Stegostoma tigrinum: one gene and its partner. The protein of the gene in region 1 purifies or fractionates together with the protein of each later gene. This does not show direct contact. Links are inferred from orthologs where the notes say so. Each region holds a gene or a part of one and is shown in the gene's direction. Other genes may lie near its edges.

Region 1 (7,984 bases):
GAGGGAACAAAATACACATTTCCGATTTGCTGACAAAACCAATCTGGGTGGGATTGTGAGGGGGATGTAAGGAGGCTTCAAGGTGATTTAGATAAGTTGAGTGAGTGGGCAAACACATGGCAGATGTGATTGGAAAATGTGAATGTACAAATGAATGTGGGTGTTCTCTTACACCAGGCAATGAGAGGAGACAGGTAGCTGCAGCAAGCAGTCAAGAACACACTCTCTGATTAAGAAGATATATTGATCTTCATGCCAGAGGATTACAGGGCATTGGTGAGAGCATGCCACGCAGCTTTGTGTCCAGTTTTGGTTTCCCTACCTAAGAAAGGACATACTTATAATTGGGGGAGTGCAGTGTAGGTTCACTGGGTTGATACCAGGGATGGCAAGACTGTCCTGTGAAGTGAGATAGGCTTGGCTGTGCTATGGCCCATTGGTTCAACATGCTGTAAATCATGCCCCACTATTCTCAGAGTCAAACTAAATGTTAAAGTTTTTTTAAAGTACGCAATGTTCCCCAATTTACCTGACTTTTGAGCCAAGATTGATAAAAATGTAGATCAGATTTCTGTGCTCACCAAGAATTAATATTTATTGTAAGTAATTACATAATAGCTATGAGTAGACAGATATAAAACATTAACATATAACACTATAATGAAAACTCTAATCCCTTATAAACTGTCCCGCAGACACCCAAACACACATTCACATACACACCCGCTCACACAGACACAGACATACACACAAACAGACAGTCACAGAAACACGTACATACACACAGATACAGAGACACTCTCAGACATAAGGAAACTCACAGACACACACACACACACACACTTTTTGATTCTGACCTGGAAATGATCCATTTTCGGCTCATCTTGATGGTCTTTCTCTGGAAGCTAATGCAGGTTTGTAAGAAATAGAAAGCAATTCATTCACTTAGAAAATGTCTCTGACCTACGCACTCAAAAGTCACAACGCACAGCAACTGCTGCAGGAAAGGTACCGTTTTGTTTTAAATTTAAACTGAGTCTTGCTTTACTGCAGCAAACAGGCTACTTCAGCTTTGAAGAAGAGGAGAGCACACTTTTCTGCTTTTCTCTCTCTCTCTGTCTCTGACTCTGAAACCTGTTTCCAGTTCCAAACTGCTCAGTCAGCTGAGACACAACCAGGTTCACTTTTAGACAAATCCTTGACTCCTGAAAGGGAGGCATGTCCCTATTTACATCGACGGATCTGAGGTTTAGAGAGTTGAGAGTATTAAGTTTGTGCAGTGACCATAGCGAACAATCTGTCCTGGATCTCCCACGTAGATGCGATGGTCAAGAAGGCACAAAAATGCTTCTTCTTCCTTGGGACTGTCACAAAATTAGACATGCCCATGAGGACCCTCGCAAACTTTTGCAGTTGAGCCATGGAAAGCATTCTATCTGGGTGCATAATGGCATGGTACGGCAACTGGCCTGCCCAGGAGCATAGGAAGCAGTGGAAAGTTGTGTGCACAGCCCAGGCCGTCACAGAAGCCAAACTCCCATCCAAGTCCCACACAAGTCCCTCGACTGATATTGAGCCTTGACTGACCAAGTTCGTAGACCCTGACTGACATTAATCAGCCTTGACTTGATTGAGGATGCACTTCTTAGACTTTGAGTTCATGGCTGTTTGGCTGAGGCACATACAGTATGTTTGCTGCGTTAGCTGTTGTCACACGGTGTACTTGTGAGATTCATGTAGCACAGTGTCATACATAAACACTTCTACACCCTGGATGGATCACAGCTGGGAAACATGACAAGCTACCCTGCTTTGTGTCTGTGCCAAAGGATAAGGCAGGACAAATGTACCATGACGCTGTAAGTTCTGAATGAGGCATTAAAATGACAATATAGGGGAAGGTCAAGGTAAGACAGAATTGCTGTGAGCATCCAAGAAAGTACAAAGTGAATGAGGGCTAAGTGAGGTGTCCTAAGATGCAATCTGTTCTGATTTATGAAATGGATGTTGACCATGTGCAAAAAGATAGCCAGACACGTGTCCAGAGTCAACCAAAATGGGCAGGGAGGCAGCGAAAGGGTTTGGGGGGAGAGGATGGTGATTGTACAAGTCACTCCACTGCCTGTACAGTGTGCCCTAAGAGATTGAACATAGAACATAGAAAAATACAGCTCAGAACAGGCCCTTCAGCCCTCCACGTTGTGCCGACCTGTGAACTAATCTAAGCCCATCTCCCTACACTATCCCATCATCATCCATATGCTTATCCAAGGACTGTTTAAATGCCCCCAATGTGGCTGCGTTAACTACATTGGCAGGCAGGGCATTACATGCCCTTACCACTCTCTGAGTAAAGAACCTGCCTCTGACATCTGTCTTAAATCTATCACCCCTCAATTTGCAGCTATGCCCCCTTATACAAGCTGAAGTCATCATCCTCGGAAAAAGACTCTCACTGTCCACCGTATCTAATCCTCTAATCATCTTGTATGTCTCTATTAAATCCCCTCTTAGCCTTCTTCTCTCCAATGAGAACAGACCCAAGTCCCTCAGCCTTTCTTCATAAGGCCTTTGCTCCAGACCAGACAACATCCTGGTAAATCTTCTCTGCACCTTTTCCAATGCTTCCACATCCTTCCTGTAATGGGGCGACCAGAACTGTATGCAATATTCCAAGTGAGGCCGCACTAGCATTTCATACAGTTGCAGCATGACATCACGGCTCCAGAACTCAATCCCTCTACCAATAAAACCTAACACACCGTAAGCCTTCTTAACAGCACTATCAACCTGGGAGGCAACTTTCAGGGATCTATGGATATGGGCACCAAGATCCCTCTGCACATCCACACTACCAAGAATCTTTCCATTGACCCAGTATTGTGCCTTCCTATTATTCTTCCCAAAGTGAATCACCTCACATTTATCTGTATTAAACTTCATTTGCTACCTTTCAGCCCAATTCTGCAGTTTATCCAAGTCTCTCTGCGACCTGCAACACTCTTCCACACTGTTTATCACTCCCCCGACTTTAGTGTCATCTGCAAACTTACTGACCCATCCACCTATGCCTGCGTCCAAGTCATTTATAAAAATGACAAACAGCAGTGGTCCCAAAACAAATCCTTGAGGCACACCACTAGTAACCGGACTCCAGGCTGAATATTTTCCATCAACCACCACTCGTTGCCTTCTGACAGAAAGCCAATTTCTAATCCACACTGCTAAATCTCCCTCAATCCCATACCTCCATATTTTCTCCAATAGCCTACCATGTGGAACCTCATCAAAAGCTTTACTGAGGTCCATGTACACCACGTCAACTGCCCTACCCTCATCCACATGATTGAAAACTCAATGAGGTTTGTGCGACACAAGGGAACAATTGGGAATGATTGTTCAAGGCAGAGTCCCATCTGCTCATGTTGGGAATTGTCGGCATCCAGCAAACTGCATGTAAATGCATGTAACTGAAGTGAAACTTGTTAATAATGAGATGTTAATGTGTACAAACTTTTCCCCTTGCCACTCATCAGTGAGGTTCTTATCTTGTTGTTAAAACCTTGAATGGAAATCAGCCTTCTTTTTCTCAACTTCAAACTTCTTATTTTTTTAATCTTGTGCATTTTCCCAACTGACTCACCATTGCCTGGTTCATTCCAGGGCACGAAAGATTCCACTCAAATTGTTCCATACTCCAGCCATTCCCTGAGATGTGTGAGCTCCCAGCTTCACTAGGACATTTGTAAGTAGCATTCAATGGTAGAAGCGATGACAGCTGCCCCATACAGGCTGAGCAGTGTCAATGGGAATGATTGATTTGACTGCAACACAGAGAAGCCAGTGGAATTAGGCGAGGAAGATGTTTATGTCTGGGACTAGTGCAGGGACAAACTTGAACCATTTATTTACAATAATCAAATTGTTACCAAGTTTTAACAACAGAATATTATTTGGCCATTTTGTAATCTTTGGTGAAAGGGCTATTAACATGAGAAAGATATTTTCAGATCATCTTTCTTAGCAATGTTTTGACACACTTCTGGAGCAAGTGGGACTTGAACCCAACCCTTCTGGCTCAGAGATAGGGGCATGACCACTGTACCCCAAAAGCCTTTCTTGTTACCATTAGGAAAGGCAGCAATTTCCAACTTACACATGCGGGTTGATATCAAGTCCAACTGATGCACCAATGATGGTTCATCTGCATTGCTGAAGGCTCCAGCCTCACAGCAGAGCAGCTGCATGATATCTTACTACTTACTGCTTCATTTTGGGGACTTTTGTTTCGAAGGATTCCCAGTTTCCAAGGCAGTTTTACCTGTGGGTTGATGACTCTTGGAAACAGGCTTGAGGTTTCTCCATCTCATAGCAGCTGGTCATTTCTCTTACACCATGGCACGATTGTTCCTCGAAAAAACAAGCTGTTTTCAATGTATAGTGCATGAAGTAACTTTCAATTGAACTTAATTCTGCTATTGAAACCAACACACCTGCAATGAGGAACCCGAGAGATCAGTCTTAACAGCCTTCTCCATTTCTCTGCTGTTGCTCAATTCGACAGGAAGTGGTCGGTTGCCTTTTGCTGGCTGTGGAGATGAGATGATTTGTCAGAGAAGACAAAGAATCTCTGAGGTAAATGCCACGTTTGATCACAAGGTGCTGAACGATGAAACAACAACAATGTGTGTGGAACAGATCAATTAATTCAATGGGTTTACTTCATTGAGATTGGGTTTGTACAATTTCATCTTGCCTCAAAATCCAACCAGTTTGAACAAAAGGAATACCAACATTTTCACCGTCTTGAGTTAATAATACCATGCACGGGAGATAAAGTTTACAACCAAACAAAAAGGTAAGTTGAAAGTTTTTAAAGAGCTTCTGCAGTATCTTATACATCATTCTTTACAGCTCTGGAACATGTTGCTATCAAAATTATTTTCAATATCATGTGAAGATATATTTTCCTCTTTGTGGATGGCATAGATTTGTATTTTGAAGTAAGTTTGCTTCTAATGCTCCCTGGAGTTCAGGACAGTTGAGTAGCTTGGAAACTGTTGCACAATCAAAATGATATATCCCTGGATAAACTGATTGTATTTCATTATAAAACTGAAATACTGTTTAATGTCTACTGTGTGAGAATATGATTTTCTGCATAATTCTAACTCCTTCAAGCCACTGGATCAATATATTGTAGCAAATCCAAATACCATATTTTAAAATGTGTGGCAGTAAGCTATGCACCCTAACTGCTTACTTCAGGTTAACTGGGAGATATTTAAAAACAAAATATACATTATTTAAGACTTCCTTTTCTGTTAAGTTTATAACTATAACTCTCAAGTGTCCTGTTTTAACTGATTTCCTACTGATTTTCTGGTCATACAGTAAGCATTGAAAAGAATTCTGTTTGTTTATGGAATGGAGAAGTTTATTTACAGCAATCGCTAATATTCTGTTCTGGGTGGGATACTGTTTTACTGCTGAGTTATTCATTCTCACCACTCAAATATAAAATTCCTTTTTAGCGAGAGTCTGGGCATGATAAATGCCTTCTTAAATAACGTGCATTTATATAAGATAATTTACATGAATTTTTTTTTAATAATTATTAGGCATAGTGGAGAGTATGCTTGCACAGCCAGAAACAGCTCTAACATAACTGTGGATGTGACCACATGGATGTTCAGCGTGAATTCATTGTTGTTTGTCTTGCCCGAGAGCAGATTCTGGATTCATTCTCTGTTGATGCTTCATCCTGAATTGTCTTCTTGGTGGATCCTTTTCTTGGTGGTTTGTCATTGTCACCCATTCCCGGGGCAGGACGAAGAGGCCGGTCCTAAGCCAACTCAGCATTGGAATTAAACCTATGCAGCTGCTGTTATTTTACAGCACACACCGGCCATCTCGACAACAGAGCTAACCAGCCCCAATTCAACATAACATCCTCTTTCATATAGATCAGGGATAGAGAAAAAATGAAAATATGTTGGCATTTTGTGACTGGAAAAACATCTAGTTCTTCAAAATGCTAATGATATAATTGATGGTACCACACATTTTCAATTTATACATCCACAAGATTTTATCCCCAGGACAACCAGTAATTGCAAAATGGGCGTCATACTTATAAAATAAAGAAAATGAATAATTGTAACTTCTTTTACCACTGTTTGTTCCACATGATTTTTCTTGACTATCCACGAGGATGTATTTGTCTTGTGTCTCAATACAAAGTTCACACAATCCCAGTGTAGTATCCATTTGATAGGGATGAATATATCTGAGCCAACGAGCAACAAAATCAAATGTGAGATCTTGATCCAAAAACTGAACAGTGAGAAGGTACTCTCTTTAAAGCTGAGGACATTACAATTCTGTTAAATGAGTCCATTGCTTCTATTAATTTTTTTCCATTTTTCAAAGGCTTTAAGCGCAGGAGATTTCATTGAAACTGCCACAGCTTAGATTCACCATGGCCTGTACCTAGTTAGATTGAGTAATCTGAGCCAGCCCAGTTCAGTTCTAGAATTGATTTTAGTTTATATTCACTAAGACTTTGTCCATATTCTTTCAGCTAAGATTGTATTGTGGAGTTCTGCTGCATTGAACAATTGGAAATTCGCTTCTGATCTTTACTGCAATGACTTCCAACAAAACACACTTGCTGTGATTAAATAGTTTTGGAAGGAAAATGAGAATTGCAAATAAAAAGCATTCTAAAGTTCAACATTAAAAGGAATTTTATTATAGTATTGCTTCATGGTACATAATCTCAATAAATGGTTATATTCTTATAATAAAATAAAGAAAGTAGGGGTGGAGGTTAGATAGACCTCAGGTTTAGGATACAAGTTCAGCACAATATCATGGGTCGAAGGCCTTGTACTGTTCTATGTTCTATGTTCTATATTTTAAGGCGGATGCTGGACGTCTGAAACAGAAACAGAAAATGCAGGATAAACTCGGCAGGGTTGGCAGCATCTGTGGAGAATAAGCAGGATTAACATTTAGAGTCCAGAGGCCCTTCTTCAGAGGAAAAAGGATCTTCATTGAAGGGCCACTGGGCTCTGCTTTCTCTGCACAGACGTGGCCAGCCCTGCTGAGTTTCTCTGGATTTGCTTTATATAGGGAAAAAATCCCATAGCAAGTCATAAAACAAAACTTGACACCAATCTAAAGAATGAAATATTTGGGTAGACAGCTAAAATCTTCGATAAAATAATACATTTTAAGATGCATTGTGAATGAGAAATAGAGATGGAGCGGTATGAAGTGAGAATTCCAGCACTTAGGGTCTTGAGGCAGCTTGGGCTACAGCTGTCAGTGTAGGGCAGAGGGAGAAAGGGATGTACAATAATCCAGAATTGATGAAACATTGAGTGTTTGGAGGGCTTTGGGGCTTCAAGTGGTTAAAAAGCTCGGGAGGCTTGAGATCATGGAAAATTTGATCTTATTAAAATTGAGGCATTGTTAGATTACGAGCCAATGTAGATTAATGAGCGTTAAAGATAATACATGTGAAGAACTTGGTCTGAGTAAGAATACAGACAGCAGAGTTTTGGATGAACTCAAGTTTGTGGAAAGTGGAAATTGAGAGGCAAACCAGAAAATCATTGAAAGTATTGAGTCTGGAGCAGTTAGGCATGGTAGAGGTTGTTAATGGCAAGTGGTGGGAGGCAGGGTGGAGACAGCAAATAAATTTCTACAAAATTCTGTTCAATATTATAAAATAAAATTAGGAAACTGAACCATAAACTAATCATCCTTGCTCAGCTCTTTGGCATTATGATACAATTTTAATTTTGATGCATATCACAAGATTATTTCTACATGACTTACGAGTAAAATTTCATATAGTGTCTGTAATTTGTAATTTAATACTTTTAGCACTGAATTGCACATGTAAATCATAAAGTTGGAATGTTACTGTTTAACTGGAAAAATATGAAATAGCATTTAATGACACCTTAATATG
Region 2 (8,479 bases), on another chromosome or scaffold:
AAATTAGCTGGTTCCTGTCACGTTGTTAACGGTGTTGGAGCTTGCTGCATGCAGAATGGCTACTGTTTCTAAAATTACTGTAGTGATTGCACTTCACTATGATTTCTTTCACTTTGTGCTGTCCTGAGGGTGGTGAATACTGCTGTAGAAATACAAATCTTTTCTATGTGAAGCGCAGCAACATTACTGTTTTAAAAACTCAGTGCCTAATATAGCCAGAGGATGTGTTTTACCCTAGATTAAACCCCCTCCTGTACATACACAGGGGTAACTACTGCTTTGTGTAGTAGGCTCCTTCATTAGGATACTTTTTCAGAATCTCCTCTCTCATGTAAAACAATGATCTTTCACCAAGTCAATGTATCAATATTGCCACATAAATCTCATGCTGGCCAGCAGGGAACTCTTAAAAACATGCCACGAGAAGACCAGATGGTAGACTTTTCTGCATTAAATTCTGGATAAGGACAGACTCCATCAGGGAAAAAAATTATAGTAGACCACATTAATTTCCACTTCCAGTTGGAGTATCAGTTCTAGTTTTCTGACAAATGTATTTCTTTTCCGGAAACCTTGTGTGGGCATGTAGATGAAATTCTGTTTCCCTACTCCCCACAATGTTGTGACCTTCATCACGCACCACCCTGACACACTCATCCCATAGTACAGCGAATGATGAGTGACTGTATCAGGCATTAAGAGTTAACAAATGAGTGACATATTTTCTTCATTTCAAATAGACAGGACAAATCGTGGAAAACCTTGATTGTGCCATCCGCTGCCACTTTAAAAATGCAAGGATGGGTAGTGAAACCAGCTAAATTGTATTTGTAAGGAGCCAGCATGGACTTGATTAGCCAAATACAGCATTCTGTGCTGTGGTCATTCTGTGATTTTATTCAACTGCTCTGTTGAACAGTGTGGAACAAGTATGATGTTTGGGATTATTTGCCCTTGCAGTCCCCTATGACACTATAACTGGGATCTCAGGTCTTTATTTTACTGACGTGATCATCGTACATTTTAGTGAGAAATAAAAATTCCAAGGGGAAAATGCACCATCTGTGGTTTAGTAGGAAGATTAAAGACGGTATCAAACTGAAAATGGTGCAGATCCAAAGAATTGACATAATATATTTTAAAAAGCACAGATTGATTAAAAGGTTAATAAGGAGAGAAAAATTAGAATGAAGCAGAGTGGAGGGAGGAATGAGCGATCACTCCATCATTACCCAGAAGCCTAATTCACTTCTTTGCTGCTGATCCTTGGGAGTAGGCACCTTGTTCTGATTTTGACTAGGAGCTATGTTACCATGGCCAAAGACATTGGGTGAAAGTGCCATATTGTTATGAGTTGATGACAAATATCCTGGGTTCAATGTATAAGAACCAAATGCCACAGTATTGAGAGGGATACAAAAGTAGCCTCAGTTTCTGATCGGAGAAGGGGGTGTTTAGCTGAGCAATAACATATGGCAATCAGGTGAGAATTGATTTAGTTTAGGAATGATTATGGGTAAGGACACTTTGAACCGTGCCGTAGAATTTTTAATATCCACACAGGGCAGCAGTGTACCAGTTTGTCCAAACTGCATCTTACCTGACAACGCAGCACCTTCTCAGAACTGCATGAGTGCCAGACTACATTTAACACCAATAACATGATATAGCATCTTCTTATTCAGTCAATATAACCTGGACAACCAGCAGCTGAGTGAAACTGAGATCCCACAACCTGGATAATGTTTTAACACAAATGTTTCTATGAAAGCAGCTCTTCAGGATTGAGATGGATACATATTTTTTGATAGCAAAGCATATGAATAGATATTTGAACAAAGATAGATCATTTCTGATCATCAGTGATTGATAGAACAGGCTTGAGGGGCTGAATAACCTACTCCTAATTCTAACAACCAGGCTGTTAAACCAGATATTACCTTTTATATCTTAGACTTTTTCTAGTGCTTATTACCCAGATAAGCAAGACATGCTACATAACTACTCTCCGACCTGGCCTACACTGAAACATACAAATCTGACGTGAGTTATTCTGGTTGTTGTAATGAGAATAGTGTTGTTTTAAAGCGAGTGACAAATGTGCAAAGGTGGTATGAAGAAAAGCATTTCTACGTTGTAGTTGAGTATGAACTGGAATACGCTGCAGGAAGTAGCTATAGACTACAGAAAGGGTGGGTGGATTCAATCATAGCTTTCCAAAGGGAATTTGCTAAATGCCCAAAAGATGAAAATGTCAGTAGTTGGTATGTTCATCAGCCTGCTGAACTGTTCCATTCATTTATGTCTCGGATCTGTCTGAATTTTGATTGTTATCTTACCGTAATGATGTGGAGCCTGTCCATATCAAGATTGAATAGAGCTGAATAACTTTTTTGAGTTGTAGAAGTCTGTTTATTGTAATTCTTCCCATTCCATTATTATACTTTGGAAGAATGCAGCTCTCTCTGGACATTGCTTTTCAGGTGTCAGAACTGGTCTCTTGGATTACTCTGCTACTACAGATGTGCTGTATTTTTGACCTGCAGGATTTGAAAGATGTTTCCTCATTTTCATCAAACCAACTCCTGATGCACTTTAGCTATTTGGTCTGAGAAATGTTTGCTGTTTTCACTGATGATGTATTTAAATTAGTGCGTTTCTCAACACAATCTCCATAGAAGTGTGTGCCAGCATGAGCTTTTGACCAATTTTGTTGCAGCAAGCCGTTTTACTGAATTCAGCCATACTGAAGGATCTCTGATGGCTTTTGGTCAGCTGTACTGAGTTGGAACAATTTGCAAGTTGACTATTGCACTCATAGGTCTGTGATCAGTCTACCATTCTGTACATCCTGGCGATCTCTCTGACACACAGTGATACAGTTGATCATGTGTTTTGACCTTATCAACTTGTCTGAACATTGTGTTGTTAATACAGCGTATGTGCTGAGGACACTTTGCTCAGTATTGATGGGTTGCTGTTACATTTATCGCACTTAAACTTCTCGCAACTATCCCATCAAAATTACAGCACTCCATGAGACAACGCTTGCTGATGAGGATCACTAAAGGAAGATGGACATGTCTATACTTTTCTTCTGGAACAGGAAAGTGGAAATACAGGAAACCCTGTATCTCCCTGAACTCCTTTCCAGTTATTGCTGAATTTCACCACATAGGCATTGGTCTCCCAGGAGAATGAGCTTATTACTAACAGATGTAGACAGGACTGATCCAGATCCTCCAATTTATTGTGTCATGTTCTCAGGGCTGCTGAGATTTGGTGTATAGGTACTGATGATGGTCACTTGATATGTTTACTCCAGCGGGAAGTGCAGCTGCATGGGGTGCTTGTTGATTTTGAAGGAAGTGTGTAAGTGTCTTACATTGGGGATGACCTGATGATGAAACCTTCACCATCTATCCTTTTCTTGCTACTCACTTTCCTGTTCCAGAAGAAAAGTATAGACATGTCCGTCTTCTTTTAGTGATCCTCATCAGCAAGCGTTGTCTCATGGAGTGCTGTAATTTTGATGGGATAGTTGCAAGAAGTTTAAGTGCGATAACCAGGAGTTCTCCGTTCAGGCAGTATTGTGTCATCTGTCTAGTAGTTTGCAAATTCCAAGCTTCAGTGATAAATTGTTTTATTTTCTTTGATTTTGACATTATTCAACTGCTTTCTGGATGATCTGCCAGCTGCAGCAGACTGGCAAAATGTTGACAGGGTCGGCAATATTTCAGGTACATTTTCAAACCCCTTCCTCTCAAAGGGTGGACAGTACTGCCCAGTCACCCTGGATGCTGCCAGACTCTCTCATCCCAGGTATGCAGATTAAGTAACCTACAGTGTGGAATCAGGCCCTTCGGCCATGGTCCAAGAGCTGGATAGTAACAATGACCACTAGTGGTCATTGCCATCGGCCACTACACCATGAACCCGTTACTGCAGGGCTTCTGAAAAGACAACATGTTTGTACCAAAACCTTCGAGGGAATATTTAAAAATAAGCAGAGCTGTGGCACAAAAAGCAGTCCACTCCCTCGGGTACAGAAACCTGGTTTCAATGATACAGAGAACCGTTAAGACTGAAGACTTGCTGCTGTGGGTGACTGCTACATCTTTTGAGCATTTTCATGTTCTTTGTGCTGCACTTTGCTGGGCTGCCGCAATGACTGTTGAATCAGACAAGTGGTCTTTCTTACCTAGGTTTCTGGAACAGCCATTGTCTGTGAGAAACAGGCAACTCAGAAACTCGGTAATAAAATATGAGGCTGGATGAACACAGCAGGCCCAGCAGCCTCCCAGGAGCACAAGCTGACTGGTCCAAATTCATTCACACTGCACCAGTAACATCCGAGGGCATTCCCAGTGTGTTATCTGACAGAATTTGACACAGACGCAGGGGGAGCCAGACTGCCAGTCAGAGAAGCAGGTCTTAAACATCTTCAAGACAGCATAGGGGTTTAGTGAGGGCATGCTAGAGCTTGGGGCCTGGGAAGCTGACAGCACGGCCATCGGTGATGGAGTGATTAAAATTAGAGAGACCGGGATTGGAAGATCCTGGTATGTTCTTACAGGTTAGAGCTGGAGGAAGAAAGAGATGGAAATGAAAAGAGATTTGAGAACACAGATGTGGATTCAGTAGTCCAGGAATGAGATATCAGGTCCGACTGTATCTGTGGAGTGAGGGGCGGTTCACATCCAGTTTGACTCCTCTTCGAGATTAATGCTTCCTGTTCCAAATAAGAGTCACATTGAGATTGTATCAGTGAAAATGGGAATTGCAGATGCTGGAGAATCCAAGATAACACAATGTGCAGCTGGATGTGGTCATCCAGCTGCACACTTTGTCACATTGAGATTGGAAACGTTAACTCGATTTCTGTCCAGACCCTGCCAGTGTTTTTTTTTGTGTTTTCTTTTAAAATTTCAGAGCGTTAGCGACCTTCATCTTAAAATCTGAGGGTGTCTGGACCAGGAGCCAGAGTAGGTCAGCGAGCAGAGGGTGGTGATCAGCACTTGGTGCGACCGAAGTGAGATGCTGATGGCTGAGTTTTGGTTGAGGTGCAGTTTATACATGTAAGGCTGGAGACTGGCCTTTGCCATGTACAGTACGCAGGTGCTTTCTAGCACACACCGGCTAGTGCCCGGTAGTGGGAGCTCTGGTTTAAGAGAGACCGGGGGGCCCGAGATTAAGCTGTCAGAAATGCATGGTCTTACATCCTAATAGTTGCTATCCTCGCAACGCTCCGCCCTTTGTTTATTATATATTCAAAACTGCAGCCCATGCTGATATTTTAAAACATAAATGCAATAGAAACGTGTATCAACGAATTTACTGCTCAGGTATTGCGAACGGATTGTACCATTCCTTCAGAAAGGAGAGGGATTCGATGAGAGAGAACAGGGTAACACTGAGAGGTTTGGATGCTTGAGGGGTAAATCCCATCCCCCTCAGTTATTGATGTTGTGTAATTTTATGAATGGGCTGTTTGCGGGGGAGGAAGGAGTGAGGAAGAGTCTATTTGGAGTGGTGGGTGATTGTGTGTGTCCCTTGCGTGTGGGTGGTGCAGTCCGCACTGGATACATTGTAACGGTTTGATTTCCGCTCCAGGTAAAGAGCGGATCCTGCGGCGGCAGCACCAAGAGCTTCGGCTCCGGGCAGGGAGCCGGAGAGACATGAGCTTTTCTGGCACCAAAGCCCTGAGCAGCAACACCAAGAACCAGGACGCGGTCGGCATGAAGGTGAAGAAGGCGCCGCCGAGTGAAGGGCTTCCGGCCACCACCGAGGAGGAGCTGCTGAAGAAGGAGTGTGTGACCCCCGAGGACGTGCTGGGTCTGCAGAAGATCACCCAGAGTGAGTACAGCCTCTTAAAATGGACAGCTGAAAAAACACTGCCGCGGCAAGACCGAGAGCTGGAGGGAGGCAGGAATTGAGCTGCAAGTGTCCCCAAAGTCGGGGAGCCAGAGCTGGGGAAGAGGGGCTCAGAACCCCCTCAGTCCAGAGCCAGGCGCCCACAGAGGCAGGGGTACAGAGTTTCAGAGCTCAATACTCTCCTTAGCCAGGTACCGGTGTGGTGGAGAGTAGAGGCGGTCCTTCACGAGATTGTGTGTGGAAGGTGAGAGTAGGGATGTAGACACAGAGTATCTGAGGTTCTTCTGGTACCCAAAACCTTCAGAGGCTGAGACCTGATAGACGGTACAGGAGGTGGTGAGAACACACATTTCACAATTTGAAAGGGCAAGGATGGAGCCAATGGGTGGCATAAGCCTATTGGAAAGCCTGGATCCAGGCAAATGAAGCAGAGGCCAATGGGAAAGGTGAGTGTGTCAGGCAGAATTTACCTCCTTTAACTGCTTCTGGGCAATCAACTCAATTACTTGTTCACAGTGAGTGTCCACAGGGGCCAGCAGTATCCCAGCGGCTGAGCTGGGGGAGCTGCTCCCAAAACCAGTCACACTTTAAAACCGAGAGTGAGAGTAAGTCTCTCCCAATAAATGACATTTAACAAAAAGTGTTAGTTCCTACCCCCAACTGCCAGTTGGAACACTCTAAAGGAAGTTCAAACTGTCTGTACTGTGATGTCACCTAACAAGTATTATTTTTCAAATGTTACATTATTTTGTGATGGCTTCACCCGCGATGTAAGTTGCATTTTTCCTTGAAGAAATAGTTCCAGTACCTTGAGTAGATAAAGTTGCAACAAATTTCTTAAAAACGAGGCATCAGGTACCAACCCTGCCTTTGAGGAATGAAGAGGCATTACATACATTGGGAAAGCATGGTCATTGCCTTTCCATCCAATGATTGTATGAAGTTAGATACAAACCATAGGATTTGTGTCCAGTTCATCTTTTGTGCCAGATACATTGATAAAAACATAGAAGATAGGAGCAGGAGGAGGCCATTTGTCCCCTCGACCCTGCTCTGCCATTCTTCACAGTCTTGGCTGATCGTTCACCTCATTAGCCCGACCTGCTTTCTCCCCATAATCTCTGATCCCATTTGCCCAAGTGCTATATCTAGTCGCTTCTTGAATATATTCAGAGTTTTGGCATCAGTGACTTCCTGTGGTAATGAATTCCACAGGCTGTCCACTCTTTGGATGAGGAAATGCCTCCTCATTTCCTTGTACTGTGACCCCTGGTTCTGAACACACCCGCCACCAGGAACATCCTCCCTGCGCATCTACCTTGTCCTGCCCTGTTAGAATTTTGTAAGTCTCTGTGAGATCCCCCCTCATTCAGCTGAAAGCTAGTGAAAATATTCCCAACCTAGTCAATCTCTCCGCATACATCAGACTCGCCAGCCCCGGTATCAGCCTGGCAAACCTTTGCTGCACTCCCTCGAGAGCAAGAGTGTCTTTCGTCAGAAAAGGAGATCAAAACTGCATGGTTAATGATATGGTAATTATTTAGAAAAGTTTGGAAAAGCTGTATGCTTCATCTTTGCTAACACTGGGCCTGACCTTCTGATTTACAGCTTTGTTTTAATCCTTTGATTTTCGAGTTAAAGACTTTTTGATTTCTTTGTATAGATTCATGCATTAATTGTGTTTCTTTTTTCTGTTGTCAGCTGTGATTTGTAACTCAAGAACCCAGCAGAGAGCTCTTTAATCCTGATGTGGGTCTTTTGCCCTAAGCTTAGATACATGGCATGTAGTTGCTCACAAATGGTAAACCAGAGGCTCCCAATAACTAAATTTTAAATGGGAATATTCAGCTCTATTGCTTGGAATTTATTTATCGGAATCCATGTACTCCCACTTAGACTGATATTGTCCTGAACTGTGAGGGATTCTGTATTGGTGTGGTTCTGTAAGGGCTGTCAGTGCTGGATTCAGATTCTGCCCGAATCTCTCAGCTCGCAGCCATTCCAACCAAAATTAGAAAAGCAATGTTAGTTGATCCTGCCTGTTTTCCATCTCCTTGGTCGTTTGGTGGCTTCTGGAAACTGACATTCTCAGTAGTTCCCAAGAGTGCAGAGTCCCATCCCAAAACACTGCAGTTAATTGGAAACAGAGGTCCCAGACAGGAATTGCCATTCTCTATCACACTTTCCATTCAAAGAGCGTTTGTCAATTTTAATCAACCTGTTTGGACATGTTATGGTATATCCCTGGGCAAATGGTTCTTGAATCCAGAACTCCTGGCCGAGAGTAGAGACAGTACTACTGAGCCACAAGACTCTGTGAAAGAATTTTATCTTTGGGATTGAAGATAACGAGACAAACTAGTTTTTAAAAAAATCTGTTTTAGTGCAGGTGGAAACACCAGTTTGTAAGTGTTTTATTTCTGAATTCTGGACATAGATTAAAGAATGATATGGTCATTGGGTTGAGGGCAATACTTAGTGCTACAACACTAACTATGTGATGGCAATGTTTCACACCCGCTGACTTCAGAGACAATTTTCTTATAAATTATAAAAGGACAGAATACAGCACAGAGATGGGCCATTCAGCCTAAATGGTCCATGC

The links. Proteins that work in one complex are often made in the same cells at the same time.
Region 2: the proteins of lck (region 1) and unc119a purify together in Homo sapiens (affinity purification with western blotting; 3 studies listed by BioGRID and IntAct, with this or other methods). This does not show direct contact. The link is inferred for Stegostoma tigrinum from reciprocal best matches to the Homo sapiens genes LCK and UNC119.

What each region holds. Positions count from the first base shown.
Region 1 is NC_081377.1:45,809,052-45,817,035, forward strand, and holds the start of lck (tyrosine-protein kinase Lck), read left to right. Parts: upstream 1-4,670; 5' UTR 4,671-4,858; intron 4,859-7,984. UniProt on the Homo sapiens protein: Non-receptor tyrosine-protein kinase that plays an essential role in the selection and maturation of developing T-cells in the thymus and in the function of mature T-cells. Plays a key role in T-cell antigen receptor (TCR)-linked signal transduction pathways.
Region 2 is NC_081380.1:47,275,149-47,283,627, forward strand, and holds the start of unc119a (protein unc-119 homolog A), read left to right. Parts: upstream 1-5,185; 5' UTR 5,186-5,209; coding exon 5,210-5,345; intron 5,346-5,377; exon of another isoform or gene 5,378-5,392; coding exon of another isoform or gene 5,393-5,420; intron 5,421-5,613; coding exon 5,614-5,856; intron 5,857-8,479. UniProt on the Homo sapiens protein: Involved in synaptic functions in photoreceptor cells, the signal transduction in immune cells as a Src family kinase activator, endosome recycling, the uptake of bacteria and endocytosis, protein trafficking in sensory neurons and as lipid-binding chaperone with specificity for a diverse subset of myristoylated proteins.